Linked DNA regions of Anolis sagrei. The protein of the gene in region 1 purifies or fractionates together with the protein of each later gene. This does not show direct contact. Links are inferred from orthologs where the notes say so. Each region holds a gene or a part of one and is shown on either strand. Other genes may lie near its edges.

The links.
Region 2: the proteins of CLGN (region 1) and SLC12A6 purify together in Homo sapiens (affinity purification with mass spectrometry; 3 studies listed by BioGRID and IntAct, with this or other methods). This does not show direct contact. The link is inferred for Anolis sagrei from reciprocal best matches to the Homo sapiens genes CLGN and SLC12A6.
Region 3: the proteins of CLGN (region 1) and SLC9A6 purify together in Homo sapiens (co-immunoprecipitation; 3 studies listed by BioGRID and IntAct, with this or other methods). This does not show direct contact. The link is inferred for Anolis sagrei from reciprocal best matches to the Homo sapiens genes CLGN and SLC9A6.
Region 4: the proteins of CLGN (region 1) and SLC30A1 purify together in Homo sapiens (co-immunoprecipitation; 3 studies listed by BioGRID and IntAct, with this or other methods). This does not show direct contact. The link is inferred for Anolis sagrei from reciprocal best matches to the Homo sapiens genes CLGN and SLC30A1.

Annotation. Positions count from the first base shown.
Region 1 is NC_090025.1:45,313,725-45,322,087, forward strand, and holds the start of CLGN (calmegin), read right to left. Parts: upstream 3,386-8,363; 5' UTR 3,162-3,385; intron 1-3,161. UniProt on the Homo sapiens protein: Functions during spermatogenesis as a chaperone for a range of client proteins that are important for sperm adhesion onto the egg zona pellucida and for subsequent penetration of the zona pellucida.
Region 2 is NC_090026.1:13,087,050-13,094,458, reverse strand, and holds the start of SLC12A6 (solute carrier family 12 member 6), read left to right. Parts: upstream 1-4,157; 5' UTR 4,158-4,433; intron 4,434-7,409.
Region 3 is NC_090030.1:24,590,604-24,598,981, forward strand, and holds the start of SLC9A6 (sodium/hydrogen exchanger 6), read left to right. Parts: upstream 1-5,141; 5' UTR 5,142-5,203; coding exon 5,204-5,504; intron 5,505-8,378. UniProt on the Homo sapiens protein: Endosomal Na(+), K(+)/H(+) antiporter. Mediates the electroneutral exchange of endosomal luminal H(+) for a cytosolic Na(+) or K(+).
Region 4 is NC_090021.1:32,140,021-32,147,654, reverse strand, and holds the start of SLC30A1 (proton-coupled zinc antiporter SLC30A1), read left to right. Parts: upstream 1-4,255; 5' UTR 4,256-4,412; coding exon 4,413-5,067; intron 5,068-7,634. UniProt on the Homo sapiens protein: Zinc ion:proton antiporter that could function at the plasma membrane mediating zinc efflux from cells against its electrochemical gradient protecting them from intracellular zinc accumulation and toxicity.

The DNA.
Region 1 (8,363 bases):
GCGAATAATGCATGCAGATCCCAGTAGGGTGGCTTTTTGCAGCTGACAGATGGTAATTTTGTCAGTGCTGATTGTGTATAACTGCAGACTAAAGTCTTTAGGCACTGCACCCAGTGTGCCAATCACCACTGGGACCACCTTTACCGGCTTGTGCCAGTCTTTGCAGTTATTGTTGTTGTTGTTGTTATTATTATTATTATTATTATTATTATTATTGAGGAATCCTTTGTTAGGAGGCACTAACTGGCCCCGATTCATTCTTGTCTTACTCAAAAAGCAGGGGAATACCAGAGGAGAATCAATCTCCCACCCTGGACATTCCACAGATACATAAACCTCACTTGCCTAGTTTCCAACAGACCTAACAACCTCTGAGGGTGCCTGCCATAGTTGTGGGCAAAGCAGCAGAAGAGAATGCTTCTAGAACATGGCCAGAAAACTCACAGCAACCCATTACAAATATGATTTGAAAATATTTATTGAACAATTTCAAAAAGCAAACCTTGATTTTTCTGTTGAAATTGTCTACATGCTTGTAGATTTCAGTGGTTTCTCTCTATAGTCTGAGGACGCCTGAATACGAGGGACGCCATTGCATATAAACATGAAATTTTGGTATACTCAAGAGCCCCGTAATTAAACCCCAGTGAATATCAAGGGCACATTATATCCTATTCAATTCTCTTACCAGACTGTATGTAGTAAGACTAGAAATTGGATTAAAGGGTGCATCTATAAGAGCCATGAGCCAACTTGGGCCCTCCAGGTGTTTTGGACTCCAACTCTCAGAATTCCTAATAGCCTCAGGCCCCTTCCTTTTCACCCTCTGCCGCTTAAGTGGAAAAATATTGGACACTCAATTAATTTAGAGGATTGGGAGAAAACATGGAACAAGAAAATGAAATATACTTATGCATCTAATTTAAAAGAAAACTGGCTAAAAATCACACCTCAGAAACTGGCAAAATGCTACCCAGAAATCAACGATAAATGCTGGAAGTGCGAAGAACAAACTGCCTCTTTTTATCATATGTGGTGGACATGTAAAACTTCCAAAACACATTGGAAAAATATCCACGAAAAAATAGAAAAGATACTGGATATAAAAATGGAATTAAAACCGGAATATTTTCTTCTGGGAATAATTGACTTCGAAATAGAGCTAAATAAAGATTAAATTTTTCAACTACCTGGTGACGGCGACCAGAATAAATTATGCAAGAGTATGGAGAATGAAAGAGATTCCATCTCAAGAGCAATGGTTAATAAATATTTTTAGATATTATGAGTATGGATAAATTAACCCAATGGATGAGCATAAAGCAGAATTTGAAAATTTCCAAAACAGACTGGATACCAATAAAGAACTATATAATGCAAGAAAACCTGAAATGGTAAATAGATCATATAAGATAATTTCAAGCATCAAATGCTCTCAGGATGAACCATAAGAAGGAGCTTGCCAAACTACCGTGATTGACTATCAAAAAAAGGAAAGAAAAGGAAGATACACCCGACGTGAAGAGGATTGGAAGTCAGACTGTATATTAACCCTAACCCCCCTAATCCCTTCCCTATCCTTCCATCCTTCCCACCCCCCCCCCCAAAAAACAGTCCCCTATCTAAATTTATTTATTTTTATTTCATATACTTCTACCCCGCCCTTCTCAACCCCCGAGGGGGGACTCAGGGCGGCTTACAAAATGGCACAATTTGATGCCCTCACAATAATACAATAAACGTATAAAAACAGCAGTTAAACGGTTAAACAATTAAAACAACAATATATATCACAGTCAATAGCCAATCTCATGCATGGCGTTCGCCAACTCAGAGTCCATACTTCGTTCCACATTGTCTATTCCTATCCGTCGTCGCAGTCCTTTATTTATCTGCCAGATTGCCCAAACGCCTGGTCCCACATCCATGTTTTTAATTTCTTTCTAAGAGCCGCTGCAAACTAGCCTCCTGTGGGAGCAAACTGTGCCAGCACGTCCCTGACGTCATGAGACTGTGCCTCTCTCTCCGCCCCTTTCTCCGCCTCTTTCTCCGTGCCAGAGTGGTTTTTCCTTTGCTAGGGCAGCATTGCCAGCATACTCTCGTTGTTGAATTCTGCCAACGAGAGTACGCTGGCAATGCTGCCCTAGCAAAGGAAAAACCACTCTGGCACGGAGAAAGAGGCGGAGAAAGGGGCGGGGCGAGAGGCGGAGTCTCATGACGTCAGGGACGTGCTGGCACGGTTTGCTCCCGCAGGAGGCTAGTTTGCGACGGGTCTAAAGGAAAGGAGGGATGTCGCTGATCTAATTTCCCCGGGAAGTGAATTCCATAGGTGAGGGGCCACCACTGAGAAGGCCCTGCTCCTCGTCCCCACCAATCTCACTTGTGACAGAGGCGGGGCCGAGAGCAGGGCCTCCCCAGAGGATCTCAAACTCCGAGGTGGGAGGTAGAGGGAGATGCGTTCGGACAGATACGCTGGGCCAGAACCGTATAGGGTTTTGTAGGTCAAAACCAGCACTTTGAATTGTGCTCGGAACTGGATCGGCAGCCAGTGGAGCTGACACAACAGGGGGGTGGTATGCTCCCTGTATGACGCTCCGGTGAGCAATCTGGCTGCCTCCCGCTGGACTAATTGAAGTTAATTGAAGTTAAATCTCTTCTTACCTTTTTCTATTCTCCTACTTTTCTATACCAAACAATTGTTCCCCCTGTTATTATTATATCTGAAAAACTTCAATAATATATATATATAGGAATTGTGAGAGTTGGAGTCCAAAACACCTGGAGGGCCCAAGTTGGCCCATGCCTGTTATAGATGCACCCTTCGGTTACAAACTAAGCAAGTACAAACCTAGGCCTGCCTTAAGCTTGAGGCACAGTCAATGCCCAAATCCTATTTTACGCTTTTGAGGAGGGGAAAAAGGTTTGTCGCCCGTGAGACGGAGACAAAACAACTATGAGCCGTCCTTGGGGAGACCTCGCATGCATCCGAAGGGCAAGGCGCGAGGCATTCAAATGAATGAGGGGGGAGAGGCCCGCCAACGGAACCATGGCGACCGCTTCCAGGCCCTCCTCCTCTCCTTCCTTCTCCCTCACGACCGCTCCCTTTTCGTTCCCCTTCCTCGCCCCGAGCAGGAGGCGCCCTGGGCCTCGCCTCGTCTCACCTCTCTCTCCCTCCTCACTGACAGGCCGCGACCGTTACCGCCCGTCAATCACGCTCCCCCCTCCGCACGCAGTCCTCTCGGCAGCGCATCCCCCGGCGCGCATGCGTCGCTGGTCCAAGCGCAGGTGCTTCGGCACGCGCCGCGCCGTCGCAACCAATCGCGATAGGGCGCTGAGAGGCTGAGCGAACCAATCGCAGGGAAGAGATTTTTTTTTCTTCTTCTTCTTAATTCCCTTCGGCTCACTTAACCCAACCCCGGATCGGTCCGCCGCTCGGTGACAAGGCGGCACGTGCCGGCTCGTCCAATCGGATCCGCCGTGGGGCGTGGCTTCATGAGCATCTCGCCTAATAAGAGCTCTGACTCAAGAGAGCGCGCCCAGTGGAGAGTCGACCAGGCACGAGGAGACTTCGGGCGTCTAATTGTTTTGGACTTGAAACTCCCACAATTCTTAATTGATTCAAATCCTTGATGATATTTATTTATACCCCCCACTTTTTCTCTCCACAAGGAGACTCAAAGCAGCTATTTGTTTTTGTGTCTACATTGAAGGAAGAAGTCCCACTTTCTTCTGCTTCCCTCAGGCCTCACCCAGGAATCCTGTGTTCAATTCTGGGCCCCACAATATCATGGCAATTTTTTTTTCGTGTTAGGAGTGAAAAATACATAAACAAATAACCATCCCACCAAAAACACACAGGAGTGACGAGAAACTGCAAATTCCTTCTGGTGTGAGAGAATTGACTGTCTGCAAGGATGTTGCCCAGAGGACGCCCGGATGTTTTGATGCATTCCAGAGCCAGGGGGCCACCACCAAAAAGGCCCTCTCCTCCATTCCCACCAGCTGCACTTGTGAGGGTGGTGGGACTGTGAAGAGAGCCTCCCCGGAGGACCTTAAGGTCTGATAGGTTAATAGGGGAAAACATAAATTCAATACTGGATTACATGACAGTGTAGATCTAGCCTAAGAGTCACCAAGCTTCACTGTGCAGTAGTGAACCTGAGTGTTTCTAGTTTGTTTGTGTGTGTGTGTGTGTGTCAGGAGCAAGGATGATGCCCAGGGGACACCCAGATGTTTTGATGTATTACCATCCTTGTGGGAGGCTTCTCTCATGTCCCTGCATGGGGAGCTGCAGCTGACAGAAAGAGCTCATCCGCGTTCTCCCTGGATTTGAACCTGTCGGTCCATTTCACAGCACAATTCAAAGTGCTGGTCCTGGCCTCTAAAGCTATATACGTCTCCGGCCCAGCTTACTTGTCCGAATGTATCTCTCCCTACATTCCACCTCGTAGTTTAAGATCCACTGGGGAGGCCCTGCTCTCGGTCCCATCAGCCTCACAAACACATCTGGTGGGGACGAGGGACAGGGCCTTCTCGGTGGTGACCCCCCACCTGTGGAATTCACTCCCCAGTGAGATTAGATCAGCGTCCTCCCTCCTTTCCTTTAGGAAAAAACTGAAATCGTGGTTTGGGAACCAGGCTTTTGACTAGCAGGCACAATGGCACTTTGGACATTGAACTGGACCATATGATTGTTATGCTAATGGAAACAGCTATATGACTGTATCATTCATGTTATTGTTTTTAATTTGTTATGTATTTATGGTTTTATATTGTTATTGTGATATTGCGGCATCAAATTGTTGTCACTGTGAGCCAATTTGACAATTTGAACTGAAAGGAGGAAACTATGAAAAGGAATAATATCTGTATATAAAAAACTCAGTAAAGAAAGAACAGCACTCAAAAGTGGGGAGTTCCAGACAAGAAACAATCAGGGACAGCTAATCACCTCTCAACAAAGGATTGTGCCGGGCAGGAAGTGGCCAAGCCTTGAAACTGCAAGACTATACCATGCTAATCAAGGTGACCTATGGCAGCATTTACACTTGCATTCACACACTCCACAGATATATAAACCTTACTTGTCTAGTTTCCAACAGACCTTACAACCTCTGAGGATGCCTACCATAGATGTGGGTGAAATGCCAGGAGATAATGCTTCTGGAACATAGCCATGCAGCCCGGAAAACTCAGAGCAAACCAATATTAACAATGTTTAATACTTTAAAATATTTGTATATTGTATATTTTAAGTTGTATTGTAATCTTTCAATTGTGAGCCACTTTGAGTCTTCGTATGGAGAGAGAAGGTGGGATATAAATAAGCATCGTAATAATACTGTTTGAATATTCATAGTTAAAAATATATAAAAATATCAACTGTTTGCAATGCTGTTTGCTTTAATTCTTGTTATTGGCCATCAAGTTGACTTTGACTTATGGCAACTTTGTGAATGAAAGACCTCCAATATCTCTGGTTGTCTATTGCCTTGCTTGATGTAGTTGTATCTTGCAGGTTTCATCCCAAATAGGGAATATGTGTGTGTGTGTGTGCGGGCGTGCCACACGAACCCAACAGAATGGAATTTTCCCTAATGCACCATGATGCTCCAAGAAACACTCTTTTTTTTTCAAAATAGTTTATCTTTCCATTCAAAGGGCTAACAGTCCCAACCCCATCCATATGGCACTCCAGTGTAACCATGGAGCAAGTTGCTATGGAACATCACCTGCTTGTTGCTGTGTACAGAGAAAAGTTCCCTATGCAGTTTCTTGGTGGCAGGAGCCTTGCTCTCCACATCAATATCCCTTAAGAGTTACTTCAGTCTAAGTTTTCAGGGCATCTTCCCACCCTCCTCAATGCCTTAAATTAATGACAGTTTAAGTTGCTGTACTAAATTATACATTAGGTGACAGATCTTATTAACCCCATTGTTCATTCTTTTTGAGCTCCTTCCTCAGAAACACATTCTTTCACTACCTATCTCATCCAGGATTTTTATCAATTTTATCCTAGTACATTTGGCCCGCCCACTGTGTTCAGTTTCTCTATCATGTAATTTTGAAACTGTTTATTTTGTTTTTTAATGTATTTATTTTGATGGTATTTTTGCTTCTTTGTATTTTATTTTGCTGTACTGTAATTTTGGGCTTGGCCTCATGTTAGCTGCCCCGAGTCCCCTTTGGGGAGATGGTGGCAGGGTACAAATAAATAAATATTATTATTATTATTATTATTATTATTATTATCTGTTGGCAATATTTTAGTTTTGGGTTCCCTCATTATAATTTTTTAAAGTCAGCTTTCAGACATCCTGTTGTGAATTTCATCCTGACCAAAAGTAAGAGGAAAGGATGATAGAATGTTAAATCCTACAGTGAAATGTGTGTTACTTTTCACATCTCTCTGCAACACAACTTGGAATGTAACTGAGAAAGTAGCATGCACATATTAGGCTAACAGTGGGCAACTTCTAACAGATGTGGGGATGGGGGGGGGGTGTTTTGTTCATACAGCACTAGGCAACCCATAACCAGAATAAAACAAAGATATAAGCCTGATCATTCAACAGTTAACTTACAGATCAGATGAGAGTGCTGCTCACTCATTCTGGGGAGGAGGCAAAAGAGTCCCTTGAATAAGCTTGGGTGGGAGTGCAGCTGAAAGCTCTAGAGGGGTTTTGTCAACTCAGTTCAAACCATGTTCAGTAGGGCATGGCTGCAAGAGCTATCAGGCTTCCCATCCCATCCCAAACTTGGCACACAGAACTTCCATGACCAACAGAAAATACTGTGTTTTCTGATGGTCTTTGGTGACCCCTCTGACAACCCTTTGCAACCCCTCCTTAGGAATCCTGACTCCCAGGTTGAGAAACGCTGCCCTAAACCGAGCTGAATATTTTTTTGGCTGTTTAATACTGCAATCCAGTGTATGTTTACTAAGAATAAGCTGCGTTTGACATATTGGAACTTGATTCTGTTGTAAATATGCTTAGGTTTTCATTGTTATGCTGCAGTCCTTTTGTATGTATGTATTATAAGCCCGAATGAACATAATTGCACTTGGTTATGAATAACAATTGTTCTCCAAATATCACTTCTCTCACTAGGAAGTCATGATCTTAGCCCCAACCAGAGTAAGGCCCATTGAATCAATGAGGGCGTGATAATAGTTCTAAAATAGATAGGACTATTTGATTTATAGTTTTGTAATGCAGTGACCAGAATGGTAGATTTTAAAAAATGAAACCTGGGCCCAGATCCACATTATCACCATGCCCATTACCACGTGGAGATACACGAGCACTTCAGGTAGCAACAGTGGCAGTCCCTGGTCATATGTTGCTACATATTTTCTGTCATCTTTTCAAAGGGCCCTCTACACAGCCATATAACCCAGAATATCAAGGCAGACAATCCACAATATCTGCTTTGGACTGGAATATCTGAGTCCACACTGCCATGTAATCCAGTTCAAAGCAGATAATGTGGGATTTTATTCAGTTGTGTGGAAGGGGGCTGTAGTCAGTTTCCCAATTTGAGGAGATACTTTCTCAGCTGTCAGTCCAGATGGCTTTGGTATTTGTCATGATAGCGGGAGCATTAACTTGTTTTTTGCATCAGAGAATGACCTACTCTTTTTCCACTGGAGAAGAACGAAGCCACCTGTATTTTCCCTTTACTTGGCTAAACATTGGTTTAAGAATAACATTTCAATTTGCTAGAACAATACCAGGTGAAATGATTAAATACTCCTCAGCTCAGCACTGCTGTTCCAATTCATTTTGAAGCATACTCCTCCACAAAAAGGAAATTAGGGGTCCATGTAACATCCCATATAGATTACTGCAACACACTCTACATGGGGCTGCCTTTGAAGACTATTCAGAAGCTTTAACTGGTCCAACAGGCAGCAGCCAGGTTGCTCACCGGAGCGATGGACATTGAGCACACAACTCCCCTGCTGCACCAGCTCCACTGGTTAACAGTCTGCTTCCGAGCACAATTCAAAGTGCTCACTTTAGCCTTCAAAGGCCTATACGGTTCTAGCCCAGCTTACCTGTCCAAATATATCCTCCCCTATGAACCACCTGAGAAATTAAGATAATCTGGGGAGACCCTGCTCTTGGTCCTGCTTTCTTCGCAAGCACACTGATGGGGATGAGAGACAGGACCTTCTCAGTGGTGGCCCCTCAGCTGTGGAACTCTCTCCCTAGTGACATCACATCAGCCCCCTCCCCCCTCACCTTCAGAAGGCAAGTAAAAACCTGGCTCTGGGACCAGGCTTTCGGATAATAGTGTAGTGCATAGGCATGGGCAATCCATGGTTCTAAAGTACTTACAAAACTAAAGTTCTGGTG
Region 2 (7,409 bases), on another chromosome or scaffold:
ATCTGGCCCAGCCATAGGTTTTAACTGTCGTTGTGTTATTGTTAATGTTTATTGCTTTTTTGTTATGAGTTTTATTTTATTGCTTTGTATTATTTGTTGTTATTGCTTTGTTATTGATGTGTTGTGGGCTCAGCCTCATGTAAGCCGCACCGAGTCCCTTGGGAGATGGTAGCAGGGTATAAATAACGTATTATTATTATTATTATTATTATTATTATTATTATTATTATTATTGCCCATGGGATGTAGGAGGCACACCTAGTTTCTTTCATTTCTGGCCCTAGTTTCTTTCATTTCTACTCATTTCTGAGTAGGCTAGAAGACTGCATGTCACCTGTATTTGTTTGTATTTTAACCAAATTTGGTTCAAAATATGGGGATGTTGGGACAGATCACTTAGAGTAGGGAGGAATGTGGCATAACTGATGTCCTCTGTGACTTCACAACCTCGGAGGATGCCTGGAATAGATGCAGATGAAACGTCAGGAGAGAATGCTTCTAGAACATGGCCATACAGCCCGAAAAACCTACAACAACCTTGTGTATATTTTGACAATTGAAACAGTTTTTATATCTGTACTAGCTATACCTGCTATGTGTTGCTGTGGCCAACCTTCCCTCGCTCTTTCTCTCCTCCTTTCTTTCTCTTCTTCCTTCCTTTCTTCCCTTATTTTCTTTCATTTTCTCCTCCCTTCCTTCTCTTCCTCTTCCCTTCCTTCCCTTTTCTTTCCCTTCCTCTTTCTCCCTTTTCTTCCTTCTCTACCTATTATTGGACTCCAACTCCCAGGAGTCCTCCCTTTTTTAATACGGGTAGCCAGATTTTGTTCCTTTTCATGGTTTCTTCCTTTCTGTTGAAATTACCCACATGCTTGTGGATTTCTATGTCAGGCTACGCAGAGAAGCCATTGAAACCCACAAGATTGTGGACAATTTCAACAGAAAGGAAGAAACCATGAAAAGGAACAAAATCTGGCTACCAGTATTAAAAAACTCAAAAATCACAACAGCAAAACAACAGAGAGGAAACCATCAGGCATCTCAAATCAAGGTGGTCAGTTGAAACATTCACACCTAGCTCCAGCAGACAAGAGTCCTTTGTCCCACCCTGGTCATTCCACAGATATATATATATATATATATATATATATATATATATATATATATATATCTGTGGAATGACCAGGGTGGGACAAAGGACTCTTGGTGGTCAGTTGAAACAGTCACACCTAGCTCCAGCAGACAAGAGTTCTTTGTCCCACCCTGGTCATTCCACAGATATATATATCAAATCACCTCTCAAAGAAAGATTCCCCCAGGCACTTCCAAGCCATTAAATGCTAATCAAGGTGGTCAGTTGAAACATTCACACCTAGCTCCAGCAGACAAGAGTCCTTTGTCCCACCCTGGTCATTCCACAGATATATATATATCAAATCACCTCTCAAAGAAAGATTCCCCCAGGCACTTCCAAGCCATTAAATGCTAATCAAGGTGGTCAGTTGAAACATTCACACCTAGCTCCAGCAGACAAGAGTCCTTTGTCCCACCCTGGTCATTCCACAGATATATATATCAAATCACCTCTCAAAGAAAGATTCCCCCAGGCACTTCCAATCCATTAAATGCTAATCAAGGTGGTCAGTTGAAACATTCACACCTAGCTCCAGCAGACAAGAGTCCTTTGTCCCACCCTGGTCATTCCACAGATATATATATCAAATCACCTCTCAAAGAAAGATTCCCCCAGGCACTTCCAATCCATTAAATGCTAATCAAGGTGGTCAGTTGAAACATTCACACCTAGCTCCAGCAGACAAGAGTCCTTTGTCCCACCCTGGTCATTCCACAGATATATATATCAAATCACCTCTCAAAGAAAGATTCCCCCAGGCACTTCCAATCCATTAAATGCTAATCAAGGTGGTCAGTTGAAACATTCACACCTAGCTCCAGCAGACAAGAGTCCTTTGTCCCACCCTGGTCATTCCACAGATATATATATCAAATCACCTCTCAAAGAAAGATTCCCCCAGGCACTTCCAAGCCATTAAATGCTAATCAAGGTGGTCAGTTGAAACATTCACACCTAGCTCCAGCAGACAAGAGTCCTTTGTCCCACCCTGGTCATTCCACAGATATATATATCAAATCACCTCTCAAAGAAAGATTCCCCCAGGCACTTCCAATCCATTAAATGCTAATCAAGGTGGTCAGTTGAAACATTCACACCTAGCTCCAGCAGACAAGAGTCCTTTGTCCCACCCTGGTCTTTCCACAGATATATAAACCCATTTTCCTACTTCCAACAGAACTCACTACCTCTGAGGATGCTTGCCACAGATGCAGGCGGAACGTCAGGAGAAAATGCCTCTAGAACATGTAGCAAAACCTACAACAACCCAAACATTTTTATTTACTTTTATAGGTTGTAGGCTTGGGCAATCCATGGTTCTAAATGGTTCTAAAGTACTTACAAAACTAAAGTTCTGGTGGTGAAAAATTTCAGAACTCTAACAAAACTTTCAAAATTTAATTATTATTTCATTATTGGTGATTTTAATGACAGAACCAATTAGGAACTGCCATTTATTATGAAATTTTGAGAGTTTTGTTAGAGTTCTGAAATTTTCACCACCAGAACTTTAGTTTTGTAAGTACTTTAGAACCATGGATTGCCCAAGCCTATAGGTTAGATAAAGGCCATCTATTTTTTGTAGGTGCTTTGAATAACTGTTTGTGTTTTCTCATTAACAGGGGACTCCTGCTCTACCCCACAACCTTTGTCTTGTGGGGTTCCTCAGGGTTCAATCCTGTCCCCCATGTTGTTTAACATCTACATGAAGCCGCTGGGCGAGATCATCCGGAGTTTCGGGGTGCGGTGTCATCTGTACGCAGATGATGTCCAACTCTGTCACTCCTTTCCACCTGCTACTAAGGAGGCTGTCGAAGTCCTGAACCGGTGCTTGGCCGCTGTGACGGTCTGGATGGGGGCGAACAAATTGAAATTGAATCCAGACAAGACAGAGGTGCTCCTGGTCAGTCGCAAGGCCGAACAGGGTATAGGGTTACAGCCTGTGTTAGACGGGGTCGCACTCCCCCTGAAGACACAGGTTCGCAGTTTGGGTGTGATCCTGGACTCATCGCTGAGCCTGGAGCCCCAGGTTTCGGCGGTGACCAGGGGAGCATTCGCACAGTTAAGACTCGTGCGCCAACTGCGACCGTACCTTGGGAAGTCTGACTTGGCCACGGTAGTCCACGCTCTGGTTACATCCCGTCTTGATTACTGCAACGCTCTCTACGTGGGGTTGCCTTTGAAGACGGCCCGGAAGCTCCAATTAGTCCAACGGGCGGCAGCCATGGTATTAACAGGGGCTGGGCGCAGGGAGCATACAACTCCTCTGCTGTACCAGCTCCACTGGCTGCCGATCAGCTACCGAGCCCAATTCAAAGTGCTGGTTTTGACCTTTAAAGCCCTAAACGGTTCTGGCCCTACATACCTATCCGAACGTATCTCGGCCTATCAGCCCACCAGGACCCTAAGATCTTCAGGAGAAGCCCTTCTCTCTATCCCACCTGCTTCACAGGTGCGGCTTGTGGGAACGAGAGATAGGGCCTTTTCTGTGGTGGCCCCCCGGCTTTGGAATGCCCTCCCTACTGAACTAAGATCAGCCACCTCGCTAATGGCATTTCGGAAAAAACTAAAAACTTGGATGTTTGTGCAAGTCTTCAATTGATTTTTGATGTGATGTTGTTTGACCATGGACTAGCAATCAAGGATAACGAATTGGACTACGATTTTAACGATGAGATCCGATCTGTATTGGTGGCCCAATACTATGTATGTTTTGTATGTATTCTTAATTTTAATCTATATGCTTAAAGTGAATTGTATATTTTAACATGTTGTAAACCGCAATGAGTCGCCGCATAGGCTGAGATATTGGCGGTATACAAGCGTACCAAATAAAATAAATAAATAAATAAATAAGTCTGTTTATGGCAACACCACTCTTCATTTACAGCATTTCCTTGGCCAGGATTAATACAGTATCCTCAATTGCCCCCTCAGAGAGTAAGAACTACAATTCCCAGCATCCCTAGCGCGTCCGTGGACCCTCTTTTGGCCGCCCCCCTCCCCTTTGTTTTCAAAGGGAAAATGAAGGGAGAAGCATCCAAGCAACAGTAGCGGCTCCTTGCTTGTGCGCATGCGCAAGAGGGAGAAGATGAGGACAAGCGAAAGCCAGGGGAAAGAAGAAAAAAAAAGAGAGAGTTCTGAGCCGCAGCAAGCAACCCGAGAGCAGCGGCTGGCCCGCGCGTGCGCACACGGAGGCGCGAGGGAAGCAAGCAAGCAAGCAAGCAAAGCGTGCGCGCGCGAGGCGCTCCTATTTAGAACGCCTGGGCAGAGGGAAAGCCAAGCTGCGCGCGCGGCTCAGGTAAACCCTTAACGGCTCCAGCCTTAACGGACTTTTCTCTCCCAGGGGCTTGCCTTCAGGGGTGGGCGGGGGCAAAGAAGGGAGCGAACGGAGAGCCCCGCGCATGCGCACTGCGCCCCCTTCCCCCCTTTCTGCATGATACACCTGTACTGTTCCCCTCTCTCTACCTTTGCTTTTCCCTGTCCTCTCCATGGTTCATCTCTTTATGGTTTTGTTTTGGCTTCTGGGGACCATTTCCACCCCCCAGTTCATTTTAAAACTAATAATTCTAACTTTACCTAGTATTTTTTTATTTTGTGTTGTATCCTATGTATTTTAATCTATGCATTATAACTCCTGAGAATGTGCAGAGTGCATGCCTCCTCAGTGATAATTGGGTTTTATATGTATTTTTTGACAGTGTTGTACCCCGCCTCGAGTCATGAAGGGGATAGCAAATTATTATTATTTTCAATAATCTATATAAGTACAAATGTAATGTTTGCTTATGAGATTAACATACCGTATATACTCGAGTATAAGCTGACCCGAATATAAGACGAGGCTTATATTCGGGAAAATGTATTGACTCGAATATAAGCCGAGGGTTGGAAATGCAGCAGCTACCAGTCAATTTCAAAATAAAACTAGATATCAATAAAAATACATTAATTTTAGTTACGAGACGTTAATGTGTTGTTATTGAGATGTCATTAGTTTGTATTTTATACTGTTAATGGTTTTAATATTGTATGTTGTTGGATGGCTTTTGCTCTTGTTGTGAACCGCGTTGAGTCGCCTACGGGCTGAGAAACTGCGGTATACAAGCAAAGTAAGTAAATAAATAAATAAATAATTAGACCGCACCTGGAATATTGTGTCCAATTCTGGGCACCGCAATTCAAGAGAGATATTGACAAGCTGGAATGTGTCCAGAGGAGAGCGACTAAAATGATCAAGGGTCTGGAGAACAAGCCCTATGAGGAGTGGCTTAAGGAGCTGGGCATGTTTATCCTGAAGAAGAGAAGGCTGAGATATGATAGCTATGTATAAATATGTGAGAGGAAGCCACAGGGAGGAGGGAGCAAGCTTGTTTTCTGCTTCCTTGGAGACTAGGACGCGAAACAATGGCTTCAAACTACAGGAGAGGAGATTCCATCTAAACACGAGGAAGAAATTCCTGACTGTAAGAGAACCCTAATAAGAATCTATACTGCAACAGAAACAACATAAGGAAAGGATAAGCTTGTACCTGAAGTAATCTATTAAAGAAAGAAACACATTTTGAAGGAGAATAAGTTTAAAACCTGTTTAGTGAAAGGAAGAGTTCTCTTAAGAGTTGTTTTATGAAATGTATTAATTGTAACCTGTGAAGAAATGTGCTTCTAAGAGCTAAGAAACATTGAAACTATCAAGCTTCTTCTATACTTCAATAAACTTGTTATAGTTTCTTCTAAAGTCAAGTCTCTGTTACAAATACGTCCAAGTTAAGCCACGCTACACATTGAAGAAAGACCAATTTAGTATTACAAGCCATTAGTTGTGTTATCAATTTAGTAAGTCCTTACAAAGTGGTGGCTCCTTTACAAACCGTTACAAACTGGTGGCCTCTTCATGGTTTAATACCCAGCATTTTTAATGTTGTGAAAGAAACTGTATTTGAGAAATATCAGTTTCTGTCATTGTCTTAACTACAATTTTGGAATATTTTAGAGATTTTTTTTTGAATACTCCTGTGTTTTCATACCCTTGGTTATTTTGTTTGTCTCTTTTCTTTGGATGCTCAAATTTTATGCTACTGTAATGCTAGATTCTAGTTCGAAGGAAAATTTGACACTTTGAATCCCATTTGGGAGGAAATTGTAGGTTATATGTGAAATGAGGAAGACAGAAAGGAGACTGAAGGAAAATTTGGTAACTTTGTGCCCCATTTGGGTGGAAAGTAGGATATAAGTCAAATGAATTTAAAAAAAAACCCTTTCATAGATACACCAATTTTGGTGCTCATTCTCACTCTTACATCATCATCTTGCTTGCCAGTGTCTTGTACATGTGCCTCCTTTTATGTGCTTGCTGTTTAAATTTGCTAAAGCAAATCCTTCTTTTTCTTTTAGCTTCCTGATTTCTGTGCATTTTGCTATTTTAAAAAAGACATCCTTACTGACTGACATTTTGGGTGCTTTAAAAGCAATAGTGTAACCCGTTTGGTCATATTTTTGGTGAATTCTTTCATCTTGAACCTATCCAAGTGCCCCATGAGATAACAAATGGGCTCCAAAGTATGGGAACCTTGTTGAACCCTGTGTAGAAATGACTCATGTCTACAGTTTCGTGTTTGTTTGAGACTATATATATATATATATATATATACACACACACGCACACACAGAGTGTATATATATATATAGAGAGAGAGAGAGAGAGCACACATTAGTATTGTCTAGTGGTTTGAGAATTGGACTATGATTCCGGTAAAGGTAAAGGTTTTCCCCTGACATTAAGTCCAGTCATGTCCAACTCTGGGGTGTGGTGCTCATCTCCATTTCTAAGCCGAAGAGCAAGGCGTTGTCTGTAGACACCTCCAAGGTCATGTGGCCGGCATGACTGCATGTATCTAAGGGTATATCTGCACAAGACATGGGCAAACTTTCAAACTTGGGCTTCCACATTCTAGCACTCCCTGCTAGGAGGACTGGCTGCCTGGTGATGGAAGGAAAGAGGAAGGAAAGAGAGAAGGATGGAAGGAGAAAGAGAGAGGGAAGGGAAGTAAGGAGGAAAGAAAGAGAGAAGGATGGAAGAAAGACAAAAGGGAGGGAAGGACGAAAGGGTGGAAAAGAAGGAAGGATGAAAGGGAGGAAGGGAAGGATGGAAGGAGAAAGAGGGAGAGAGGGAAGGAGGGAGGAAAGAGGGAAGGAAGGATGAAACAGTGAAAGGGAAGGAAGGAAAGCAGGAAGAGAGAAAGGAAAAAGAGAAGGAAGGGGTGAAGAGGAGAATGGA
Region 3 (8,378 bases), on another chromosome or scaffold:
AGGTTAAATCCCTGTGCCAGCAGGACTGAAGACCAACAGGTCACAGGTTCGAATCCGGGGAGAGGCGGATGAGCTCCCTCTATCAGCTCCAGCTCCTCATGCGGGGACATGAGAGAAGCCTCCAACAAGGGTGATAAAACATCAAAATCATCCGGGCGTCCCCTGGGCAACGTCCCTGCAGACGGCCAATTCTCTCACAACAGGATGCTCCTGACACGACAAAAAATATTATTATTATTATTATTATTATTATTACTAATATTATTAATATTGTAATATTACTAATAATATTATTAATATTATTAATAATATTGTAATATTACTAATAATATTGCATTCTAATGGTATTGTACAATATAATATATAATCCTAATATTGTACTATGCTAATAATATAATATATAATAGAAACATATAATATTAATAATATTATAATATAATAGAATATAATAATACAATATACTAATAATAATAGTAATAATAATAATAATAAACTTTATTTATACTCCGCAACCATCTCCCGAGGGACTTGGTGCGGCTTACATGAGGCTGAGACCACACTGCATCAATGATAAAAGCAATAACAACAATTAATACAGACAATAAAACAAAAACTCATAACAAAAAAAAAACAATAAACAATAGCAGTAACACAACGATGTTAAAAACCTATGGCAGAGCCAAATGTAATAATTAAAATTTAAGAATAATATTATTAATTAATTATTAATATTAATGTATAAATATAAAATGTTAGAAAATGTTAGAATTAAGCTAGGAAAAATATGGCACCAAAATGGAGTTGGTCGGTTAACTCGCGGATATGGTGGCCCGAGTGGTTTCCGTATCCGCGGTTTAAAGAAACGCAGATTCAGCCTCCCTGCGATGCCTGGAAGGCATCCCAGGCGGGCCCGCCGCTGCCCACGGCCCAAAAAAGGATAAGTTCATGCATTTGATACTTGTGAGTCAGGAAATAGACACAGTGTATCACTTTGGAGAGGTGAACGTTACAATTCAATTAGTCTTTATTAGGGGTTTTGTTACAATGTTTGGGCTGGGGAGAAAAGCAAAAGGAGAAAGCTCAAGGTTGCAGAGAATCCTTGGTTGAGGCTGCTGCTGGGGCACATTTCATCAGAGCTGGCATCCAGGAACTGCGGAACTCCCTGCAGCTGGTCAGATCAGCTGGAAAGCAGGGGTTTGGGGCGGATTCGACATCAAAGCTACCCACAATTATAAACATGGAATGTAGACAGTGTTTCCAAGGCAGGGGATGATTGATCATCATGTTAATTGAAAACAAGTATAAGAATTGAAACTCATAATAAAAATGGGGAAATACTGAAAAATGGGTGTTGGATCGATTTTACTAAAGCGCTGCAATGGAGATAAATTGCAAAATGTAGCCTTGATCAAGTCGGGTGCCTTTTACCAATGGAAAGAAGACAGAACTGACAACAACAACAATAATACATCACACAGTCCTAGACACTTGGGAAGTGTTCGACTTGTGATTTAGTGATACGAAATCCAGCATATATATCTAATTTGCTGTGCCATACTATGTTTTTCTGTCAGTAATAATAATAATAATAATAATTCTACACTGTAGAAAGAATGTCGTTTGACACCTCTTTAACTGCCTTTATGGAAACCTGGGATCTGTAGTTTGGTGAAGGACCAAAGTGAAAGATCTTGTAAAACTGCAGCTCTCCAGCTTTCTTAGCATTGATGGCTAAAGTGGTGTCAAACTGCATAAATTCCACAGTTCAGATGCACCCAGATAATTGCTTTGAAGGCATTTGTCCTCTTGGCAAAAAACAAACTAACTAAACAAAAAAAAAAACCCCAAAAACCCATGCATTTCTTCCTTTCTTCTGAAGGAGGAAAATATTACTCTGTGGTGGAAAAACAAGCCCTGCATTGTGCCATAATCTATGCCTTGTCACACTCCTCTCATTCTAAACAAAGCTACCTACCATTTCTTGCAGTGGGTTTCGAACTGCTTTCTGTGCAGAGGGTTCAATGGCAAACCAAAGGAATGTTACTGAAACTTAGATTAACATCTATAAATCAAATTAAGAGCAAACCTTACTTTCAAAGCAACAGTGGCAGAATGTTGTTGAAGGCTTTCACGGCTGCAATGACTGGGTTGCTGTGAGTTTTCCGGGCTGTATGGCCATGTTCCAGAATCATTAGAATCATAGAGTGCGAAGAGACCTCATGGGCCATCCAGTTCAACCCCATTCGGCCAAGAAGCAGGAAAATCGTATTCAAAACACACCCTACAGATGGCCATCCAGCCTCTGTTTAAAAGTCTCAAAAGTAGGAGCCTCTACCACACTCTGGGGCAGAGAGTTCCACTGCTGAACAGCTCTCACAGTTAGGAAGTTCTTCCTAATGTTCAGATGGAATCTCTTTTATTGCAGTTTGAAGCCATTGTTCCGCATCCTAGTCTCCACGGAAGCAGAAAACAAGCTTGCTCCCCCATCCCTATGACTTCCTCTCACATACTTATACATAGCTATCAGGTCTCCTGACATTTCACCCACATCTATGGCAGGCATCCTCAGAGGATATGAGGTCAGTTGGAAACTAGGCAAGTGAGGTTTATATACCTGGGGAATGTCCATGTTGGGAGAAAGAACTCTTGTCTGTTTGAGGCCAGTGCAAATGTTGCAATTTGCCAACTCGGTTAGCATTGTATAGCCTTGCAGCTTCAAAGCCTAGTGGCTTCCTGCCTGGGGGAACCAGGACAGTAAATAAAGAGCAACATTAAAAAAGCAGGGAATTCCAGACAGGAAACAATCAGGGCCAGCTAACACCTTCTAACAAAGGGTTCCCCCAAGCAGCAATCAGTCAGGCTTTGATGCTGCAAGGCCATTCAATCAAGGTGGCAATTCAATGCTAATCAAGGTATGCAACATTCACACCTGCCTCCAACAGACAAGAGTTCTTTCTCCCACCCTGGATATTCATACACACACACACACACACATCCCACTTGCCTAATTTCCAACAGATCTCTCAATCTCTGAGGATGCCTGCCATAGATGTGGGAGAAATGTATGTCAGGAGAGAATGCTTCTGGAACATGGCCAGATAGCCCGGAAAACTCTCAACGACCCAGTAGCAGAGAGAGCAAGTGACTTCCAAATAGTCCAATAGTCCTGACAGCTTTTACCAGAAGCAGAAAATCCCTTAAAGAGCCCCATTTCGGGAAATAAACTCAATTGATATTCGATGTATTTTGGGTCTGGAGACTGCAAAGGCCTTTGCAATGAATAGGGTTTAATTCAAAGGTTTCAAGCTGCAGTCTTAAGGGTCAAAATAGGCTCATGCAAATCCTTAGCTGCTGGGTAAATTGCACTGTTTAGTCTGTTTCAGGAAAACTCTACAAAATCCAGCCTCATAAAACCAAGATCGTAACATGAACTTTGGAATATGTCTCCAGGCCAACAGCACTGCTTCTTCTCTCTGTGTGTGTTTTAGTAAACATCTACCCTTCAAAGCCTTAATAACAATAACAATAAACAACCCGGAATCCAAAATGCATCTGTTCCCAAACATTCTGGACAAGTGCTATTCGGTGTACCTATGTAAAAGGTTTCAAAACATGTAAACACCCAACACAATCCCAAACACTTTGGGTGCCAAGCATTTCGAAAATGGGGTGCTTGTTCCGTATATGCAAGTATTGTAAAACATTTAAACATCCAGAGGAATCCCAAACACTTCTGGTGCCAAGCATTTTGATCAAGCTGTTCTTGTTTTGGAATGTAAGTCCCCAAACTGGTGCTTTTCCTGCATGAAGTCAGAATGGGGCTAGACTGGGTGGCCTTTGAGGGTCCCTCCCATCTCTAGGATCCTATAGCCCTATTATTTCTCTCCATCTAATTAAATGTCTATGAGGCTGGATGGCCATCTGTCAGGGGTGCGTCGATTGTGTTTTTCCTTCATGAAGGCAGAAGGGATGGTACTTGGGGTACTCTTTCAACTCTAGCATCCTATAGCCCTATTATTTCTCTCCATCTCGGATTCTCTAGCCCTGTTACTTCTCTCCATCTAATCTAATGTCTATGATGCTGGGTGGTCATTTGTCGGGGTGCTATGACGGAGTTTTCCCTGCATGGATGCGGGGGGGGGGGGGGGGTTTGAACTGGATGGCCTTTGTGGTCCATTTTAAGTCTAGGATCCCATAGGACTATTATTTCTCTCCGTCTAGGATTCTCTAGACCTGTCATCATTCCCCATCTAATCTTATATTTGTGATGCTGGCTGGCCACCTGTCGGGGATGCTTTGATGGTGCTTTCCCTACATGGAGGCAGAAGGGGGTTGGGCTGGATGGCCTTTGGGAGTCCCCTTTAACCCTAGGATCCTGTGGCCTTATTATTTCTCTCCATCTAATCTAATGCCTGTGAGGCTGGATGGCCATCTGTTGGGTGGGCTTGGATGGTGCTTGGCAGAAGGGGGTTGGGCTGGGTGGCCTTTGGGGGTCCCCTTTAACTCTAGCATCCTGTGGCCTTATTATTTCTCTCCATCTCATCTAATGCCTGCGAGGCTGGATGGCCACCTGTCAGGGGTGCTTTGATGGTGCTTTCCCTGCATGGAGGCAGAAGGGGGTTGGACTGGATGGCCTTTGGGGTCCCCTTTAACTCTAGGATCCTGTGGCCTTATTACTTCTCTCCATCTAATCTAATGCCTGTGAGGCTGGATGGCCACCTGTCAGGGGTGCTTTGATGGTGCTTTCCCTGCATAGAGGCAGAAGGGGGTTGGGCTGGATGGCCTTTGGGGGTCCCCTTTAACTCTAGCATCCTGTGGCCTTATTATTTCTCTCCATCTCATCTAATGCCTGTGAGGCTGGATGGCCATCTGTTGGGAGGGCTTGGATGGTGCTTGGCAGAAGGGGGTTGGGCTGGATGGCCTTTGGGGGTCCCCTTTAACTCTAGCATCCTGTGGCCTTATTATTTCTCTCCATCTCATCTAACGCCTGTGAGGCTGGATGGCCATCTGTTGGGTGGGCTTGGATGGTGCTTGGCAGAAGGGGGTTGGGCTGGATGGCCTTTGGGGGTCCCTTCCAACCCTGGGAGAGCTTGCTTCCCTTCTCCCCAGCCTCGAGGAGGAGGAGGAAGTGGAGGAAGAGGAGGAGCCAGGAGGAGGAGGAGGCGCAGCAGCCATCGCTGTATCCAGAGCCCGAGCCCTAGCCATGGCCTTGCTTTGGGGCCAGGGTCCTGCCGCCCCCCGGAGGGCTCCCCCTTTGGCGACGGGGCTGCCCCTGCTGGAGCTGCTGCTGCTCTTGGGGGTCTGCGGGGGGTCCGGCTCGGGCCCGCCGGTGGCCCTGGAGGAGGAGATCGTGTCGGAGAAGGCGGCCGAGGCCAGCCACCGGCAGGACAGCGCCAACCTGCTCATCTTCATCCTCCTCCTCACCCTCACCATCCTCACCATCTGGCTCTTCAAGCACCGACGCGCACGCTTCCTCCACGAGACGGGCCTCGCCATGATCTACGGTGGGTCCAAAGGGGCGTGGGGGTATCTGTATCTCTGTGGGGAAGGCTCCAGTCGGGGAGGGACCCCTCCAGACCCAGAAGGACCCTCCCACCACCTTGCAGAGGCCTTCTCCAAAACCTCAACAAGGGGTTGGGAGTCTAATACTAATACTAATAATACTTGGTCCAGATCTGTCATCAGCTCGATTCAGTGTTCTCTGGATAAGGGTGAACTACAACTCCTATCACCTTGCAGAGGCCTTCTCCAAAAGCTCTGGGCACCAACAAGGGGTTGGGAGTCTTATACTACTACTACTACTACTACTACTAATACTTGGTGCAGATCTATTATCAGCTGGGTTCAGTGTTCTCTGGATACTGGTAAGCTAGTCTCCCATCACCTTGCAGAGGCCTTCTCCAAAAGCTCTGGGCACCAACAACAGGTTGGGAGTCTAATACTAATACTAATACCACTAATAATAAGATCTGTCATCAGCTGGGTTGAGTGTTCTCTGGATAAGGGTGAACTACCCTCCCATCACCTTGCAGAGGCCTTCTCCAAAAGCTCTGGGCACCCACAAGGGGTTGGGAGTCTTATACTAATACTAATACTAAGAATACTTGGTCCAGATCTCTTATCAGCTGGATTCAGTGTTCTCTGGATAAGGGTGAACTACCCTCCCATCGCCTTCTCCAAAAGCTCTGGGCATCAACAAGGGGTTGGGAGTCTTATACTAATACGAATACTACTTGGTCCAGATCTGTTATCAGCTGGGTTCAGTGTTCTCTGGACAAGGGTGAACTACAACTCCCATCACCTTGCAGAGGCCTTCTCCAAAAGCTTTGGGCACCAACAAGGGTTTGGGAGTCTAATACTAATACTAATACTACTAATAATAATACTTGGTCCAGATCTGTTATCAGCTTGGTTGAGTGTTCTCTGGACAAGGGTGAACTACAACTCCCAGATTACTACAACTTCCTTCCTGTTGAATCAGTCCCCCCAACCCCCCCCCCCCAGTCTGAGTCCTCCCTAGGGGTTGGGAGTCTTATACTACTACTACTACTACTAATAATAATAATAATACTTGGTCCAGATTTGTTATCAGCTGGGTTCAGTGTTCTCTGGATAAGGGTGAACTACCCTCCCATCACCTTGCAGAGGCCTTCTCCAAAAGCTCTGGGCACCAACAACAGGTTGGGAGTCTAATACTAATACTACTAATAATAAGATCTGTCATCAGCTGGGTTGAGTGTTCTCTGGATAAGGGTGAACTACTAATACTACTTGGTCCAGATCTGTTATCAGCTCGGTTGAGTGTTCTCTGCATAAGGGTGAACTATCCTCCCATCACCTTGCAGAGGCCTTCTCCAAAAGCTCTGGGCACCAACAAAGGGTTGGGAGTCTTATACTACTACTACTATTACTACTACTACTACTAATAATAATACTTTGTCCAGATCTGTTATCAGCTGGGTTCAGTGTTCTCTGGATAAGGGTGAGCTTTGGTTACATCCCGTTTAGATTACTGCTACGCTCTCTACGTGGGGTTGCCTTTGAAGACTGCCTGGAAGCTCCAATTAGTCCAATGTGTGGCAGCCAGTTTGCTAACAAGAGTGGGGTACAGGGAGCATACTACTCCTCTGTTGCGCCAGCTCCACTGGCTGCCAGTTAGCTTCCGAGCACTATTCAAAGTGCTGGTGTTAACCTATAAAGCCCTAAACGAATCTGGCCCAGTTTACCTGTCCGAACGTATTCTCCCCTATGAACCATCAAAATTGCTAAGACGTCTGGAGGGGCCCACCGGCCTCACAATCGCGTCTGGTGGGGACGAGGGACAGGGCCTTCTCGGTGGTGGCCCCTCAACTCTGGAACTCCCTTTCACTGGAGATCGGAATGGCCCCCTCTATCTTGAAGTTCAGAAAACCCCATGATAAGGTTAATGTGATGGGTAATATCTTTGATGATTTTGTAAACAAAGCTTGTTTACATTGAAGCATAAGGTTGCTATAGGATTCCAAACCGTTGTGTGCCATTTATTAATCACCTTTGGGGACATCTTTGCTCAGCAGTGTCTTGATGGTTTACTCCTTTCATCTTCAGGGAGCAATGCTACAAAACGGAGAAGAGGAAGGAAGGAAGGAATAGAATAGAACAGAATAAGGATGCCTTTACCAGCCATTATCTGGTACCCACAGCATATTTGGTATAGTGGTGTTCAGAAATAGATAATAATAATAATAATAATAATAATAATAATAATTATTATTATTATTATTATTTATAGCCCGCTACCATCTCCCCAAGGGACTCGGTGCGGCTTACATGAGGCCGAGCCCACAACACATCAATAATAAAACAATAGCAAACAAACAGTACAAAACAGTTAAAATACATCTCATAAACAAAAGTAAAATAAAATATAAGCAGTACAGCAACACAACAAGCATTTAAAACCTATGGCTGGGCCAAATGTAAAATTCAAATTTAAAAAATAATGCTGGGCATGAGCAAGGTAGGATATAGCTGCGCCCGTACCTTGGGAAGTCTGACTTGGCCACAGTAGTCCACGCTCTGGTTACATCCCGTTTAGACTACTGCAACGCTCTCTACGTGGGGTTGCCTTTGAAGACGGCTCGGAAGCTCCAACTAGTCCAGCGCTCGGCAGCCATGATTTTAACAGGAGTGGAGCGCAGGGAGCATACAACCCCCCTGTTGCGCCAACTCCACTGGCTACCGATCTGCTACTGGGCTGAATTCAAAGTGCTGGTGTTGGCCTTTAAAGCCCTAAACGGTTCCAGCCCAAGCTACCAATCCGACCGCATCTCTGCCTATGAACCCACCAGGACTTTGAGATCGTCCGGGGAGACCCTGCTCTCGATCCCGCCTGCTTC
Region 4 (7,634 bases), on another chromosome or scaffold:
TCTAAACCGTAGAATGAATACTGTTTGACACTACTTTAACTGCTATGGCTCAGACCTATGGAATCGTTGGGACTTTTACAAGGTCTTCAACCTTCTGTACCAAGGGACTGTACCAAGTCTCGGAAAGTTGAATCTATGGATACAGAATCCATAGAGGTCTGGTTGTACTTTTATTCTGATTTTTGTATTGTATACTCTTAATATGTCAATAGTTGCCTTGGGAGAGCTATGATTGGAAGAAAGGCAGGTTAAAATACTACTACTACTACTACTACTAGTAAGGATCATTTTTTTGAGGGGGGAGGTTTCAAGCCATGGATGGCTTAGTCGTAAGGCTGAACAGGGTATAGGGTTACAGCCTGTGTTGGATGGGGTCGCACTCCCCCTGAAGACGCAGGTTCGCAGTTTGGGTGTGATCCTGGACTCATCGCTGAGCCTGGAACCTCAGGTTTCGGCGGTGACCAGGGGAGCATTCGCACAGTTAAAACTCGTGCGCCAACTGCACCCGTACCTTGGGAAGTCTGACTTGGCCACGGTAGTCCACGCTCTAGTTACATCCCGTCTAGACTACTGCAACGCTCTCTACGTGGGGTTGCCTTTGAAGACGGCTCGGAAGCTCCAGCTAGTCCAACGCTCGGCAGCCATGATACTAACTGGAGCGGAGCGCAGGGAGCATACAACTCCTCTGCTGCACCAGCTCCACTGGCTGCCGATTTGCTACCGGGCTCAATTCAAAGTGCTAGCGTTGGCCTATAAAGCCCTAAACGGTTCTGGCCCAAGCTACCTATCCAAACGTATCTCTGCCTATCAGCCCGCCAGGCCCCTAAGATCTTCTGGGGAGGCCCTGCTCTCTATCCCGCCTGCTTCACAGGTGCAGCTGGCGGGGACGAGAGACAGGGCCTTTTCTGTGGTGGCCCCCCGGCTGTGGAACGCCCTTCCTATGGAGGTAAGATCAGCTCTCTCGCTAATGGTGTTCCGAAGAAGATTAAAAACTTGGATGTTTGAACGGGCATTTGGTTAAACAGTGCAATGAATGTGATGATTACAGGAATGGAAATTTGGACGACGGATTGGATCACGACTCTAGTTATGAGATGCATTGTGTTGTCTATTGTTGTGTCAATATTGTATATTATGCTTTTATGGTTTTAAATTGTATATCGTTGATTGATTCTTATCCTTGTTGTAAACCACGTTGAGTCATCTGTTGGGCTGAGAAACTGCGGTATACAAGTAAAGTAAAGTAAATAAATAAATAAATAAATAAATCTGTGGATACAGAATCCACAAATGACTGCAATTTTATTCTATTTTTATTACCTGCCTAGAGAAACCTGTAATTGGATAAAGGTGGAATAGATGAGGATGCCTGCCATAGATGTGAGTGAAACGTCAGGAGAGAATGCTTCTGGAACATGGACATTCAGCCCAGAAAACTCACAGCAACCCAGTAACAGTAGTATTGGTTGTAAAATATGCAAAATATGTAATATATTAATATTTTATATATGTACTAGCTGCCCCCTGCCACATGTAGCTGTGCCCCAGTCTGTGTATATGTTTATTGATATAGGTATTGTGGATTGTGTTTTTATGCTTTTAAACTGTATACTGTTGTTTGTTATAAGTTGTTGTAAACCGCGTTGAGTCGCCGGCTAGGCTGAGAAACGGCGGTATACAAGTATAGCAAATAAATAAATAAATGTGTTTTGTTTGTGTGTTGTTGTTGTTCATTCGTTCAGTCGTCTCCGACTCTTCGTGACCTCATGGACCAGCCCACGCCAGAGCTCACTGTCGGCCGTCACCACCCCCAGCTCCTTCAAGGTCAGTCCGGTCACTTCAAGGATGCCATCCATCCATCTTGCCCTTGGTCGGCCCCTCTTCCTTTTGCCTTCCACTTTCCCCAGCATAATTGTCTTCTCTAGACTTTCCTGTCTCCTCATGATGTGGCCAAAGTACTTCAACTTTGTCTCTAATATCCTTCCCTCCAATGAACAGCTGGGCTTTATTTCCTGGAGGATGGACTGGTTGGATTTGATTGTGTATGTGTGTATATATTTGTCTATATGTGTTTGCATATATATGACTGTGTGTTTTTTGTGTATGTGTGTTTTGTGTATGTATATAGTTGTGTATATGTGTATATATGTGTGTGTGTGTGTGGTTTTGCACATGCATTGTAATGCATTTTTGTTCTTTGGCTTTTTAAGTCTTTTCTGTTGTGTTTTTCCATGTTTTTATGAGTGGTGGTCACTCGTTGGCCTGATACGTGTATTGTGTCCAAATTTGGTGTCAATTCATCCAGTGTTTTTTGAGTTCTGTTAATCCCACAAACTAACATTACATTTTTATTTATATAGATGTTGGTTAACATGCCTTGAGAAACTTTTGATGAGGATATAAATGAAAATAACATTAGCCACCGCGACAGGGAGTGCTTCTGTGCTTTTTTGCCTCAAGTGAGGGAAGTCCCAGCGCGGGCCCGGAAGTACCTTTGGCTGCTCTGCTTGGGCGAGGCCTGGAGGTGTCTACACGCGCCTTACTTCCGCTGTTTTGGGCGCGGCAGCTGCTGTGGCGGCGAAAGGGAAGCGGGTGCCGGGCGGAAAGGAGGCGCGCTGAGGAGGGCCGTGTGGAAAAACGAGCAGGGTCTCCTCTCCTTCTTTCCACACAACCACCTTTTGCGCCAGTTCCCTCAGAGGCGGGGCCGAGAAAGGCGCGGACTCTGATTGGACGCCATAAAGTCGTGACAGCTCATTGGCCACGCCCTCGAAAGCTGCGAGGGGAGGGCCGTGTGGAAAAACGGGGGCGGGATTGAAGGAGCCAAGCCTCCCTCCCTCCCGGCGCCTTCAATCCTTCGATCTGATTGGGTGCCGTGAAGTCGTGACAGCTCATTAGCCACGCCCCCAAAGGCCGCGAGGGGAGGGCCGTGTGGAAAAGCGAGGCCGGGTCCTCGCGCCTCTCTCTTAGAGCCCCGCCTCCTTCAAATCCACACAAACCCGAAAGGAGGCGGGGCTGAGACGAGAGCGGACTCTGATTGGACAATTTTACATCGTGACAGCACCTCCCGACACCCATCTGTCAGGGGCGTTTTGAATGCGATTTTCCAGCTTCTGGACTGGATGGCCCACGAGGTCTCTTCCAACACTTCAGCTCCCCTTGGAGCCCCTGGAGGTGCAGTGGGTTAAAGCCATGTGCCGGCAGGACTGAAGACCGACAGGTCGCAGGTTCGAATCCGGGGAGAGGTGGATGAGCTCCCTCTATCAACTCCATCTCCTCATGCGGGGACGTGAGAGAAGCCTCCCACAAGGATGATAAAACATCAAATCATCCGGGCGTCCCCTGGGCAACGTCCTTGCAGACGGCCAATTCTCTCACACCAGAAGCGACTTGCAGTTTCTCCTGACACGACAAAAAAAAGAGCTCCCCCTCCCTTCCTAAAACAAAAAAAAACCCAGTTGGAGGCGTGGCTAAGAAGAGGCCGGGCTCGGATTGGACGCCGATACGTGGTGACACCTCCCCCCGCCCTCTAGGATTCTACAGCTCCACCCTCCCTTCCTAAAAATTAAAAAAGGCGGAGGCGTGGCTAAGAAGAGGCTGGGCTCGGATTGGACGTTCATACACGGTGACAGTTCCCCCCTCCCTTCCTGAAGCAAAAAATTCCAGTCGGAGGCGTGGCTTAGAAGAGGCCGGGCTCGGATTGGTCGCCCATACACGGTGACAGCTTCCCCCTCCCCTCCTAAAACAAAAAAATCCAGTCGGAGGCGTGGCTTAGAAGAGGCCCGGCTCGGATTGGTCGCCCATACACGGTGACAGCTCCCCCTCCCTCTGTAATTCTTCAGCTCCCCTTTCCCTTCCTGAAACAAAAAATCCAATCGGAGGCGTGGCTAAGGGGAAGCTGGACTCGGATTGGTCGCCCCTACGCGATGACAGCTCCCCCTCCCTCTATGAGTCTACAGTTCCCCCTTTCCTTTTAAAAAAAAAAAAACCCACTCGGAGGCGTGGCTTAGAAGAGGAAGGGCTCGGATTGGACGCCCACACGCGGTGACAGTTCCCCCCGCCCTTTCTCTCCCCGTAGCCACGCCTCCCAGCGAGCCGGGGAGCCAATGGGAACGCGGCCTGCGAGGCGTGCCGGATTGGCTGGCGGGGGTCCTTCCCCGACGCGGCCAATGGCGCCTCGGGGGCGTGGCCGGTCGCCGTGGCGGCCGCCAATGGCGCGCCTCGAAGTGGGCGGGGCGCGTTCTGGGGTTCCGTGTGGAAAAGAGTGTGCGAGGGAGAGGAGGAGGAGGGGGTTCGGGTGCAAAGTTTAGTTTCAAACCGTCTGCAAAGGAGGAGAAGAAAAAGAAGGAGAGGGAGACGCGGCGGGGGAAGAGAGCGGAGAAGGAAGAAGGGGAAGAAGGAAGCAAGCAGCAGCCATGGGCCCTGAGGGAACGGGCCTGGACCCTGCCCGGCGCCACGGAGCCCTTCCCGCTCCCCGCCGCCGGAGGAGATGCCGCCGGGCCCGGCTGCTGTGCATGCTGGCGCTGACCTTCGTCTTCTTCCTGGTGGAAGTGGCCGTGAGCCGGCTGACCTCCTCGCTGGCCATGCTCTCGGACTCCTTCCACATGCTCTCCGACGTGATGGCGCTGGTGGTGGCGCTGGTGGCGGTGCGCTTCGCCCAGCTCACCCGCGCCACCTCCAAGAACACCTTCGGCTGGGTGCGCGCCGAGGTCATGGGCGCCCTCGTCAACGCCGTCTTCCTCACCGCCCTCTGCTTCACCATCCTCCTCGAGGCCGTCGAGCGCTTCACCGAGCCCCACGAGATCCAGCAGCCCCTCGTCGTCATCGGCGTCGGCGCCGCAGGACTCCTCGTCAACCTCCTCGGCCTCTGCCTCTTCCACCAGCACGGAGGGGGCGGAGGGGACGACGGGCACGGGCACTCGCACCGAGGGAGAGGCTCCGCCGGGCGACACCACCGGGGGAAGGCCGGAGAGAGAGGAGCCGCCGCCGGGATGGGACTCTCCAGGGAGGAGACCAACACCCTCGTGGACAGCTTCAGCGGCTCCAATGGGGTCGGCATGGAGAAAATAGGTGAGGGAGGACGGAGAGCTGCCCTCAGGCCAAGCATGGGCCAACTTGGGCCCAACTCCCCCCATTCCTAACAGCCTCAGGCCCCTTCCTTTTCCCCCTCAGCCGCTTCAGGCCGCTTCTTTTTTCCCCTCAGCCAGGGGGAAAAAGAAGCGGTCTGAAGCGGCTGAGGGGGAAAAGAAAGGGGCCTGAGGCTGTTAGGAATGGGGGGAGTTGGGCCATGCTGTGCCCTGCCATCCCCAATGCCCTCTCCTGGCAACCCATTGTCTTGGTTACTGTTATCTCCTCATCTTTCCCTAGCACACAGCCAGTGTGGTCAGCAAGGAGAAGCTGGGAAGGATCTCCAGACCTCACATAAGAGAGATCAAGGGCTTCAGGTTGGGTTAGGCCAAGGATAAGGTATTTGGACAGGTGTTTTCTTTCATTAGGTGCTGGGAAGAGTGGGCTTCAGGTCTGGATGGGGCATCTTCAAGGCTCAGGCATGGGGAAACTTTGGCTCTTCCTCCAGGTATTTTGGACTTCGACTTCCACCGTTCCTGGTCAAGACAATGGTAGGAGTTGAAGTCCAAAACACTCAAAGTAGGAGAAGCACCTTTTCCTAACCTAAAATAAGAGAGATCAAGGGTTTCAGGTTGAGTCAAGCCAGGTATTTTGACAGGTGTTTTGTTTCATTAGGTGCTGGGAAGAGTGGACTTCAGCTTCAGGTCTGGATGGGGCATCTTCAAGGCTCTGCTCTGAGTTTATGCCAGGTGTGGGGAAATTTCAGCCCTCTCTCCGGGTGTTTTGGTCTTCAACTCCCACCATTCCTGGACAAGACAATGGTGGGAGTTGGAAGTCCAAAACACCCAGAGGGCCAAAGTAGGAGAAGCACCTTTTCCTAACTTAAAATGAGAGAGATCAAGGGTTTCAGGTTGGGTTAGGCGAGCGATAAGGTATTTTGAAAGGTGTTTTGTTTCTTTAGGTGCTGGGATGAATGGACTTCAGCTTCAGGTCTGGATGGGGCATCTTCAAGGCTCAGGCCTGAGGTTGCGCCAAGCTTGGGGAAACTTCTCCCCTCCAGTAGGCTGTTAGAAATTGTGGGGAAACTTCAGCCCTCCCTCCGGGTGTATTGGACTTCAACTCACACCATTCCTGGACAAGACAATGGTGGGAGTTGAAGTCCAACACACCAGGGGAAGCACCTTTTCAAATTTAAAATAAGAGAGATCAAGGGTTTCAGATTGGGTTAAGGCAGGGATAAGGTATTTTGATGGGTGTTTTGTTTCATTAGGTGCTGGGAAGAGTGAGTTTTAGCTCTGGATGGGGCATCTTCAAGGCTCAGGCATGGGGAAACTTCAGCCCTCCCTCCGGGTGTTTTGGACTTCAACTCCCACCATTCCTGGTCAAGACAGTGGTGGGAGTTGAAGTCCAACACACTTGGAGAGCTGAAGTAGGAGAAGCACCTTTTCCTAACCTAAAATAAGATAGATATCAGGGTTTCAAGTTGGGTTAAGCCAAGGATAAGGTATTTTGACAGGTGTTTTATTTCATTAGGTGCTGGGAAGAGTGGACTTGAGCTTTGGATGGGGCATCTGCAAGGCTCAGGCATGGGGAAACTTCGGCCCTCCCTCCGGGTGTATTGGACTTCAACTTCCACCATTCCTGGCCAAGACAATGGTGGGAGTTGAAGTCCAAAACACCTGGAGGGCCAAAGTAGGAGAAGCACCTTTTCCAAACCTAAAATAAGAGAGAGTTTGGGGTTTCAAGTTCCGTTAAGCCAGGGATAAGATATTTTGAGAGGTGTTTTGTTTCATTAGGTGCTGGGAAGAGTGGACTTCAGCTTCAGGTCTGGATGGGGCATCTTCAAGGCTCAGACATGGGGAAATGTAGGCCCTCCCTCCAGGTGTTTTGGACTTCAACTCTGACCTAAGCTTACATCAGGCGTAGGGAAACTTCGGCCTTCCCTCCGTGTGTATTGGACTTCAACTTCTACCATTCCTGGTCAAGACAATGGTGGGAGTTGAAGTCCAAAACACCTGGAGGGCCAAAGTAGGAGAAGCACCTTTTCCAAACCTAAAATAAGAGAGAAATTGGGGTTTCAAGTTCCGTTAAGCCAGGGATAAGATATTTTGAGAGGTGTTTTGTTTCATTAGGTGCTGGGAAGAGTGGACTTCAGCTTCAGGTCTGGATGGGGCATCTTCAAGGCTCAGGCATGGGGAAATGTAAGCCCTCCCTCCAGGTGTTTTGGACTTCAACTCTGACCTAAGCTTACATCAGGCGTAGGGAAACTTCGGCCTTCCCTCCGTGTGTATTGGACTTCAACTTCTACCATTCCTGGTCAAGACAATGGTGGGAGTTGAAGTCCAAAACACCTGGAGGGCCAAAGTAGGAGAAGCACCTTTTCCAAACCTAAAATAAGAGATTGGGGTTTTAGGTTCCGTTAAGCCAGGGATAAGATATTTTGAGAGGTGTTTTGTTTCATTAGGTGCTGGGAAGAGTGGACTTCAGCTTCAGGTCTGGATGGGGCATCTTCAAGGTTCAGGCCTGAGGTTGCACCAGGCTTGGGGAAACTTCAGCTCTCTAGTAGGCTG